Linked DNA regions of Drosophila melanogaster. The protein of the gene in region 2 interacts with the protein of the main gene of each other region in a pairwise test. Each region holds a gene or a part of one and is shown on either strand. Other genes may lie near its edges.

What was found.
Region 1: the proteins of CG12877 (region 2) and SmydA-6 interact in a two-hybrid assay, tested with the Drosophila melanogaster proteins (one large-scale study listed by BioGRID).

The regions. Positions count from the first base shown.
Region 1 is NT_033778.4:17,044,808-17,049,463, reverse strand, and holds SmydA-6 (SET and MYND domain containing, arthropod-specific, member 6), read right to left. Parts: upstream 2,626-4,656; 5' UTR 2,620-2,625; coding exon 2,555-2,619; intron 2,500-2,554; coding exon 2,371-2,499; intron 2,314-2,370; coding exon 1,185-2,313; intron 1,131-1,184; coding exon 957-1,130; 3' UTR 670-956; downstream 1-669. Other genes in the region: CG9646 (uncharacterized protein), read right to left, coding at 37-154; SmydA-7 (SET and MYND domain containing, arthropod-specific, member 7), read right to left, coding at 2,912-3,061, 3,119-4,382, 4,434-4,486.
Region 2 is NT_033777.3:27,705,144-27,711,565, reverse strand, and holds CG12877 (uncharacterized protein), read right to left. Parts: upstream 4,467-6,422; 5' UTR 4,357-4,466; coding exon 4,248-4,356; intron 4,190-4,247; coding exon 2,768-4,189; intron 2,710-2,767; coding exon 2,199-2,709; intron 1,941-2,198; coding exon 1,347-1,940; intron 1,290-1,346; coding exon 1,030-1,289; intron 953-1,029; coding exon 873-952; 3' UTR 709-872; downstream 1-708. Other genes in the region: CROT (carnitine O-octanoyltransferase), read left to right, coding at 5,725-6,102, 6,179-6,422.

The DNA.
Region 1 (4,656 bases), on a different chromosome or scaffold from region 2:
GGGGAGCTGCGGAGTCCGGATTAGAGCTGTACCCACCATCCTTGAGCAGCTGACGCATCTCCTTGGTGCGCTGGAAGTTAATGTCCTCCAGGAGCTGCTGCAGAGGCGTCTGCGAACCCTTCAAGAGGGCGGCGGCGGCACTGGCGAGGGCCATCCTAAAGGGGGATTTTCACGGCTCCGCGCTTCCGGATGACGAATGTCGATGTAGAATGGTGAGTATTACTATTTCACAACGTCCAACACATTACGGCCTTTGCGGGGGTGGCGGCAACGTTGCGGGGACGCGGCTAGTGATGTATATATTGCAGCATTTGTTGTTGCTCCACGGTTGGAAATTTTTTGCAGTCGCAGAATCAAGCGGTGCAGAGGAGCACCTTATCTCCACGGCACATGCAAATCGCAACTGAGCAGCAAACCCTCGTTTTTTTCCCACTTGGGGGTTGTTTTATCCCTTATTCGCGGTGCATACCCCATCTGTATTATCAGTTATCAGCTGTTCCCATAATTTCACTGCCTCTTTGTGTTATTTATTCGGAAATGTCGAAAATTCCACGGTTAACTCTTTTGTCTAGCTGAGCTTTTATTGTTTAATGCAAAAAAAAGATAAATAACAATAAATAAACTCAGTAGTGTTGCAAAAGCGGTAAATTAAACGATAACAGCAAACGTGCGGCTCTTCGATTAAAGCTCTATATCAGTTATCGAATTTAAATTGATTTAAAGTTTCATTAAAAAGTAATGCAAACTAGTATTATTTCCTATTGTTCGTGAACATTCCTAACAATTTCGGTTTGATTTGATTTGAAATTTAGCTCAGTTAATATTGTATCCTCTTTTTTTTTCAAATTTTTAATCAACAAGATGAATGCTATACACATGAATAAGTCATTAGTTAAACATGGGAAACAATGCTTATTGAATTCAAATACCAGTTTTAATCTGCAAACTCGCAGATCTTATTGATTTACCACATCGTCATCGGATTCCCGAAGATTTTTTATATCATCCTGCAGCTCCTTCAGCTCTCGAAGCATTGATCGCGTCAGCTGGCCCTCTGGAGTGGCCAGTGGCTCAAATAGAAGCATTCGCAGAGACTCCCGCAGCATGACCTCAACTCGTTCCAATTCCGCCTAGAAAAAATTTCATTAATTTGACATTAAGGAATAAATCCAGGACTTTCCCACCAGGAGGTCATTGGCACTGTGCTCCATTTCAGTATACATTTTTCTGGCCAATTCGGCCTGTGTGTTAGCCAGTTCATAGAGGGCGATAGCCTTCAATCTGGAGATTCCAGGAGTTACGACCTTAAGTACCAACAATATCTCCTGGCACAAACGAATCTTCCGCTCGTATACTTTCTTATTTGGTCGGGTTCCCATATTCTGAAGAATCTGTCGCAATATAGAGGCGATATTTTGCTTTAGATCGAGCATTAGGAAATGATTCCGATGAAGTAGGCGACTTAGCTTGGCCAAGAGTAGCTCCTGCCGGTATATATCATCCCTTGCGTGAAATATTTCCTCCTTAGCACGTTCCAGCATATTCGAGACAAACTCCTGTTTCAGTGTGTGCTCCGGATTAAGAAGGCACTGCCATATTCCGGTATCCGGCTGACGCACTATGTAGCCATCTACGCACGAGCATTGACTGCAAATGAAACTGCTCATGTGTGTTCCCAGCTCGGTGGGATCCTGGCATCGCGGACAGGAGCAGTCGAAGCACTTGCCCACCTTGAGGATTTTGCGACGCTCCTCGGTGCCCAGGAGCACATTGGTGTAGCAATTGTAAAGGATCTCTCCGGCGGCTATAAACCGATTTGCGTAGACCTTTATACGTTGCTCGTCATCGATTGAGATGACCAGGTTGGGCGTGCAGCTGTGGGCGAAGAGTCCTGCCCGGCGATACAGTCCTCTCATGGCGCCACCCACCTCCGGGGCCCTTATCTCGTAGGCATTTATGTCCAGGATGCCTAGGAGACCCTGTACTAGGTCCTCATCCGCCGCACCCCGTAGTTGTGCTAGCACTCCACCATAATCCAGAGGAGTAAATGCGTGCTCCTGGTAGTTTTTCCAGACTTCAGTCCCTCTTCTAGTCATAAGTTGGGAATCCATTTGGGACATTTCCTCGTACAAGGGCAGGGTTTCCTCGTGCTCTCTTAACAGCAGGCATTTCAAAACTGGCTGGATTTCGGTGTGCTCCTTTTTCTGAAGCAGCTCCACCTGGTCGTCCGAAAAATTCATTTCAGCAAGCCTTTTGCAATCTCGTTCGTCATGATCCGAGCAATCCTCACACAAAGCTAACAGACGGCACTTTCTAAGGGTTTACATAAGATTCGTAAATGGATAACACATTTGTATGGAGTCCACCTACCGACAAAAACTCTCGGTTAGATTAAAGCACTTGGAGCAGCGTCTTTCGCCCATTAGGGGCAAAACCACGATAGGATTCTCCAGCAGCAGGGTCTCGCCAGCCCGAACATTACAGAGGGCAACCGCAAATCTTCAGGGAAACCCACAGGGGTTAAATATTTTAAATGGGTTATAGATGCACCCACCTGCCCAGCGTGTCATTCTGCTTTATCTCGCACTTCCTTGCAAAATCGTCGGTTACTGCGGCCATTCTCTGTTTCCCGTTCCCTTTGGCTACCTTTGGCATACTGACAACACAACCAGCGCCATGCTGGCAACTTATTTTTAATTGAACGACAATTCTTTATTTATTTCTTGGTCAATGATTCCCCCCACCCAGCCATACGTTGAACCATGTCGCCGGTACACAATGTAAAAGTGGCAACAACTGAAGGGAGCGCATTGTGTTCGCTTCCCTTCGACTAATCAAATTTGTTTTAGACTAAAAATTGCCGGAGCAGGGCCACAAAGTGGATATAAGATATGTACCCAAAATGGGGATATTATCTGCCGTATTTCTTCAAATCGGACTCAATCCGCTCCAGCTCCATTGAAATCCGGTCTGCAAGATAGCCTTCTGCCGAGTTTTCTGGCTCAAAGCGAAGTAGGTCCATTGCTTCCGTGGCCACCAGACTCGCGGTCCTTAAATGAGCCTGTGAATTGCATTTATTTAATAATTGCAATTTTAAAAGGGTATTCACTTTACTCACCACATATTCTTTTTTGCTCAGATCACTTTCGGCAAATTGCAATTCCACCAGCTCCACCAAGGCCAGCAAGTACTCAAACAGACCAATGGCATACAGCTTGGAGATGCCTGGAACCACAGCCCGACAGACGGGCAGTAAGTCGGAGCAGAGTTCCACCCGGCGGGCGAGAAGTTTCTTGCACGGCTGGTCCATGGAGTTCATTAAAGCAGCCGCTCGCAGAATACTGGCAATGTTCTGCTTGATGTCCAGCAGCATGAAATGATTGGGATGGAGCAGTGGCCCGTACTGGGTCAGTAGAGCTTCGTATACCTGCAGGTCACCCATGGCGTCTACTAAGGCCGATCCCACTGCAGCCTGTAGTTCGTGGACCTCGGCAGCGGTTAACAGGGCTCTACAATCCGGGCAGCGCCAGTCTCCAAGTTTTCCATTTGAATCAATCTCGCAAACTGAAAATCCGGGGCACTCCTTGCACTTCAGGCTGCTCATGTGGGTGCCCATCTCGGTCGGATCCAGACAGCGCGAGCAGATACACTCCAGTCTTCTACTTAGACGCAGTTGGTGTTGTCTCTGACTGGTGCCCATCAGAGGATTGGTGTACGAGTTGTAGATGATGTCGCCAGGCTGCAGGGGAACCGCCGCATATAGCTTCATGTTGAACTGTTCATCCAAGGCCACCACCGTGTTTGGAACGCAGTGGTGCGGTAAAGTAGCACCCCAAACAAAAATTCCCTTCAAGGTATCACCATCCTTTGCGGTCACCTCGAAGGAATTACTGTCGATACGTATGCAATGGGCGTGAAGTGCATCCGAAGTTAGCTCCTGAGTGGGTAGAACATCCGCTAGGCCACTCTCCATTAGTGGACGCACCACTAGCTCCTCGTGCTCTTGCCACATTCCTTCTCCGTCGCGGTAATCACTCAGATTTATAGGAACATCGATGAGCATTTGGCAATCGCCTTTTGTACGAGGATTCTCTAGCAGAAGAAGGAGCTTTAGGAGTCCACATATGCCAAAGTTCTTCACAAGAATATCCTTGCAGAGGGCTTTTCCTGCTCCGCTGGTGAAAAACTCACACTCGAATTCATCATGCTGGTTGCAGTCCATGCACAGGGGAAATACCTGACACCTTCGGCATATCACATAGGATTCCTGAAGGCATTGCGCGCACTTCAGCTGATGGCATTCCCAGTGTGGAGCTACCAGCAAGGGTCGCTCCTCCAATATGGTATCTCCCGGTTCGATGGCTATACTAGCCACCAGATGCCTGCACAGAATTACACTTTAACTATTGTTTTAGAAAGCTATTTGAACTTACCTGCCCAACTTCTCATCGTGAGCATGCTGAATATTTTCGCCAAATTCTTGCATCGATTACGTCTGTTGCCTGGCGAGAAAAGTAATTTAGTGATTCTGCCATCGCCGTCGTGGCTTGTGGTTCGTCTACTCACCTAAAACGCACTGAGCAATTATAAATATACTCTGCAGTGCTGCTGGCTGAGGAATATCCCTCTTTTTCAGGAGCCCTGTCGTATTGCTAA
Region 2 (6,422 bases):
GATAAACACGTGTCGCCATCAGCCATTTCCCGCAAGGATTGGGGTTTGGGATCCCACTTAATGCCTATGGCTCCTCCTGTCATTCGGTGGAGCTGGAGCTGGCCGGGGGCAACAATTATGCCGAATTAAGTGCTGAAACTTTGGCTGCATTCTCAATAAGCCAAACTTTTACCGGAACGCACAGAACGGAAAATTATAAAACGTTAAAATTGAAAAATCATGCGCCAGTGAGGAGCAACCAGAAGCCAATATCCAGATGGTGCCCACGGCCAGCAGACGAGGCCGAGTATAATTGAAAAATATAAAGTATCGCCGCAATCTGATTAAAATTACATTTAAATAATAACAACAAAAACAAGGCGGCCAACCTGGGGGCGGGACGAGGGCAGCGGCGAATATTCTGTGATGTGCGTCAGGCACGAAACTTGCAATTACAGTTTGTAACGCGGTGGCAGGTAAAAAACTTTACAAAACTTTCCAATTGCTTTTCATTGAATTGTTATCGATAGTGAAGAGAATGGAAAAAACGCAAGGAAAAATGGGCAAGGCAAAAATAGAGAAAAATGAACAAATATACCTGGTTGAAGGCTCGAGGTAAGAAATTCTTCAAAGGACTCGCCAAATCCGTAGCGTACTGTACAGCGTTCTTTAAGTTCCATGTGCCACACTTCAATCACTTTAAATTGGCATTTAAAGCAAGCTTTACTTATTTTTCGCTGTCATCGCTTGGTGATATATTTATACAGTTTGATTTTACATAATATGGTTAGCTTAAAGGCTAAGGCTTTGATTTTTGATGGGCATGATATACATATTAACAGATGTACGTAATGCTTTTGAACTGAATGCTTGCGATGGTGCGTGATAGCAGCTCAACTGATTTTGTTGCGCAGATAATACTTGATGAGCTGAATGCACACCTCAGCATCCTCGGCACTGTCGTGGCCAGCCTCTGTGGAAGAAGGAAATATAATAATTATAATAAACTTCTTACGTCAAGTGATAAAGTAAAAGACTAGACACACTCACCGCTCTCCTGTATAATCCGCTTTAGGTTTTCAATGCACAGTGTTTTCAGAGCTCGCTTCTTTGGCGGTCCCATCTTGTGGGGAAACAGCACCGATGTGTCCACCACAACGTCGTGAATGAGTTTGAGTGCCTTCAAATCGCTCTCCAGACTGTGGCCAACGAGCACGGTTTTGGCATGGAACATGGACATCAGCACCGCCTGAACGTCGCGTATGGTACGCGTCTCATTGGAGAGCATCGCCTCCGTGATGCCCGAGTAGCTGAAGTCAGAGTATTGCAGATTAATACGAAACAACCGAAAAGCTACATTCACCCACGTCGTATTGTAGTCCACAATCTGGTTGTCCGGCTTGACAAGAGCATCGTAAACGCTGCGTCCATTTATGTCCACCACCGTAACGCGGGTTAGCTCTATTCCGTGTGTGGTATAACACATCTCGCAATCCAGTGCATATATGTCCTTCTTAGTGGGCACAAATTCCTCACCCCGTTCGATCGTCTTCACGAAACAGGTGAGCTTTTCCGGATCGTAATAGTCGCTGACGTGGTAGTTGGCATAGGTGCAGCCTGGAGTGCCCGCCGGCTGCTGGCAGCAGCGATGCTGGTGGTCCGTGAATCCTCGTCGATATCCCGTGCTTTTCGGATGGTAGTTGCACATGTCAAAGCTCTGGTGCTCGTATATGTCCAAGCTGAATACCTTGCCGCAGCGGGAACAGTAGCGCTCTTTCTGGTTGGGACGACGGTTGGGGCGGCAGGCGCGTATCACTGCGGATCCGCGCTTATCGCCCGGACGCGGATATCCGTTCTCCACCAGCTGCTCTTCAGTCAGGCGAAGATCGAATACCATTTTGTAAGCTTTCTCGGCGTCTAAAGCATCGAAAGGTTCGCCATTGCCCAAGGAGCTCAGTTTTCTGCAATAGATATATATTTAATGTTTGTTAGGGTAAAGATATCAAAAACTTTTTATATGCAATTGAAATGTTAGAAATACGTACAAATGTCATAAAAGTTAACATTCATGACTTCCAGGAAGAAATGTGAAGTCATAAAGAGAAATTATGCTTATGTTTACGTTTATGCTTGTGGCCAGTGGCAGTATTTACAATTAAGCGAATTTCATCTTATAATGTGCACATAGAGAATAACTATAGTTTAGTATACAAACCCACCCCTTTTTCTCTACGCTCCAGGATGTGGTGAGCGCCCGCTTGCCGCCCAGCATCATCTCGTGCGACACAGTCTTGCAGGCTACGCTCGGCTTGTTTCCCGCCTCTAAGGCCTCCTTGCGGAGCTTGTTAATCGCCAGCATGCAGCTGTTCTTGTAGATGGCAGGCGTGTTGCACTTCTTAAAGACGGTCAACTCCTCCACCTGGGCGCGCTCCCAGGCATCTGCCAGCTGCGGATAGATGACGGTGCAGTGCCTTACCATCATCTCATAATACTGAATGCGCACGTTGTATGATATCTTGGAGCTGCTGGGATCTAGGACGGTTGGCTTCTCCGCGTTGGACACAGGAGCCGCTTTGTCTAGCGCAGCAGTGGGCTTGTGAGCCACACGGCCGGCGCCCTTGAATGATTGTGCAGGCGTAAAGGCTGGCTTCTTCTCGGCCTGCAGCTCCTCGATCTTTTTTTTGGCCCGAGCGATGGCCACAATGTTGGCCACAGGTGCTATGCTGCGAGCTGGTAACCAAAAATATTTGAATTTGAATTATTATATATTCCAAAGTGGTATGCTCACCTGATCGCACTGGTGGGGTCAGAGCACTTCGCGAAATAAGTGGCGTGAGGTTGGAGTTGACCTTGGCCTGACGGAGCTCCTCCTGCGCTTGGCGCACCCGCTCCTGTGCCTGACGTACCTGCTCCGCTGAGGCTTCGGCTTGTAGCTTCTCCTGGCGCCGCAGCTCCGCGCGGCGGTTGAAGATCGCCTGCATGGCATTACGGACGTGATTGGGTTTGCGCATCGCCGCCGAAGGAGCCAAATGAGGCGTGATCTTGTCAGCATTCTCGTGGGCCACCCGGCGCTTCTGCAGAGCCGCCGTGGCTGCCTCGGTGAAGGTATCAATGTCCGGAGAAGGAGCTTTGCGCTTGCGAGAACTCTCCGGGTTGGCATTGCCGCCTTCGTCCTTGTGCATCTGCGCAAATTTTTTTTCCATCTCGTCAAAAATCATTTCACACTGGCGTACAATTTCTCCTTCCGAGGTGTCTGCTTCAAAATCAAAGTCCATGTCATCCAGATCATCCATAGGTTCTGCTGGTGTCAGTACAGCTGCTTCAGTATCCTTATCCGCCTCCGGTTCGCTCTTTGAAGTGCCAGCGCTTTTGCTGGAAGACGAGCTCCTCTTAGTTTTGGACCGTGAACTCGAGGAACTAGATTTGTGATGATGGCTCTTCGAGGAGGATGATGAAGAACTGCTCTTGTGCCTGCTACTGGAACTTTTGTCGTCGCGGTGCTTATCGCTGCTGGATGACTTTTTGCTGGAAGAGGAGCTAGATGAAGACTTGTGCTTAGAGGAACTTGAGCTTGAAGTATTTCGCTCCTTGGAGCGCTCCTTGTCGCTGTGGGAGGACTTTCGCTTATCCCTATCATTTTTTTCCTTCTCTCTGTCCCTTTCCTTGCTCTTCTCTTTGTCTTTTTCCCGGTCCCGGTCCCGGTCCCGATCCCTGTCTTTGATCTTTTCCCTTTTCAGCTCTCTGATCTTCTTCTTTTCTATATCCCTTTCCCGCTCCTTGCTGGGCTTTCGATCCTTTTCGTGGCTATCCCTAGCATCCGTCAGTTGCGTATTCTCCTGGTCCTCCTCGTTTTCAGCTACCGTATCTATCTTCTGTTCTTCGTCGTTATTCTGGACTTGCTCCTCAATCTCCACCTGCATCTGCTCATCAATTTCCTTTTCGAGTACCGCCTGCCAATCGTCATATTCTTCGCCATTTGTAACAGATGGCTGGCCGGGCACATATTTGGGAGCACTGTCCACGGACGCCTCCTGCTTCTTCTTAGCCGGCGATGCGTCAAGAGCCGGCTTCTCCGGGTGGTACTCCAGATTGGACTTCTTCCGGGGCGCACATAGCGTGATCTGGGGCAGTGGAAGGGAGAGCAACTTGGGTGCCGGCTTGTACTTGGGCACGGGGGAAGGTTCTGCAGGTGGAGCGGCCTCCAATTCGTCTGTAAACCGAGAGTGGATAGAATTTGTTGCGAAATTAACTGGACGTAATTCACTCACCTTTGCGAGCATGCTTAAAGTGGCAAAAGGGGCGCTTGCAGGACGCCGCATCCTGGCCGTCAAAGTAAGGGCACAAGAAGCCCTTAAAGAGACCCGTGGATGGCAGCATTTCCACCTCTTGCTGGGATTAGAAATTTAATAAAGCCGCTTGAGAAAACAAGCGTCCCAAATTTCTTTCTATTCTTTCTGCCTGTCTCTTTCACTCATTTCGACAGATGTCAGCTGTTTCAGCTGCTGGCGGCGTTGCCAGATAGGCGTCAGCATGGATGCTATGAATGGATGCTAAGGAATTAAATTAAATAAATTTAAATAAGTTTTAAATATTTACAAAACATTGAATGACCTATTTAATTAATAATTGTAAACAATATTCGCATTTTGTTAACGGTTACAATGTACGTTTATGGCAGTTGATTGCATCAATCCGGGAGGATTATATCTTGCGGTACGATGTACAATGCTATGCGATGTTAATAAGAATAAGATGTACGTAATAAGAATGTGGTGACTAACGGTATAAACAAATGGTGTAAAAAGTCTGGCAACTCCTGCAAACAGCTGTTTGCTGTGCCAATTTCCTATAGGGTCTTCGCCGCTTGTAAACAAAAACGCAGCAGTATAATAATAAAAATAATTGTTTAACCTATAAAATTGTTTGCTTATCTAGCCTAATGAACTTGATAGCTGCGGAACCGTTTTAATTTCGATCGAGTGCATCGCAAACTGAAGTTCGGGCGCGACATTCAACTGCCGCCTCATCGAAGGTTTGTGTGGGTGTGTCTGCTGGAATATGTTATTAAAAAAGAAATTCATATAGAAATTCAAATGAAACCGGCCATTATCGGTGGCCGACTGTCTGCAATAGCAATGATTAGGGTGATATATTATCGCACTGAGTCAGTGGACGCGGGTGGCGGATCCCACGGTGCGATAATTCAAGTGCTCCCCCTCCGGCAAGGTTTGCTGTGATATGGAACCAACCTATGGATTCAGTCGTATAACGGCAGTCTGGCGCTTCAGTTGTCTCCGGCAAAAGTGAATTCCCCATCGAGTACAAAGGTCAGTGGGCTAGAAATTCGCCTATGATTTCACCAGTGCGCCGGGAGTATAAATATTTATAAAGCTCCCCAATCCGGACTTTGTCCAGCTTGAGGAGATTAGTGAAGATAGTCGTCTAGCTGCAGTCCAAGAAAGATTACGTTCAACTTGACGCATAATCCGCTTAGTTGCACATTAAGTGTTCTTAGTTGTGTGGTATTAATTTGCACACCATTTTAATGTTTAACCTATAAGATGAGATCAATTTATTTCCGATGTGAATGTACTCAGTAATGTATTGGGTGAACTTTGGACCTGACGAACGTAAAAGCGATTCCCGATATGATTATTGTACTAATCTGACTTAGGCCTATAGAAAACCACCACACGCGCAGACTGATATCAACGATTCCAACGTGTCCCCCGCAGCTAAACCACCATGGACCGGGCTAGTCTATATTTTATGAGCAAGGATGATAAGAACACCTTCGACTTCGACGAGACCTTACCTTCGCTCCCGCTGCCGGAGCTTAGGGACACCATGGAGCGCTACTACAGCTGCATCCAGCCATTCGGGACCAAGGAGGAGTTGGCCCAGGCCCGCAAGACTATTGATGAGTTCCAAAACGGAGTGGGAGCCCAGCTGCACGAACAGCTCAAGAAGCGGGCGGCCGGCATGAGGAACTGGCTGGGCACCTGGTGGGAGGACTACGGATATCACCTGATTCGGATGCCGCTGCTGCCCTACCAGCTCATGGTCATGCCCTCGCAATTGGAAATGGTGGGCGTGCCGGAGACACCGGAGTACATGCTGAAGGTGAGTGGACCCACACCCCAAGCTCTATAAGAACACAAAGTTTAAGATTGCCTAATTGACTGTATAATTTTCGAAGAGTCTGGCGCGCCACATTCACCACTCGCTGGAGTTTTGGGATCTGACTAGAAAGTCCAGCATCAAACCGCTCTCCTCGAACGGCGGTAAAATAAAGTACTCCTCCGCGCTGTACAAGCACTTCTTCTCCACGTGCCGTGTGCCAGGCGAGGAGCAGGATCATATAGAGAAGCATTTTCTCACCAAGGATGAGGGCAAAACGCCGAGTCACATGCTTATTTCCGGCAAGGGACGTCAGTTCATCT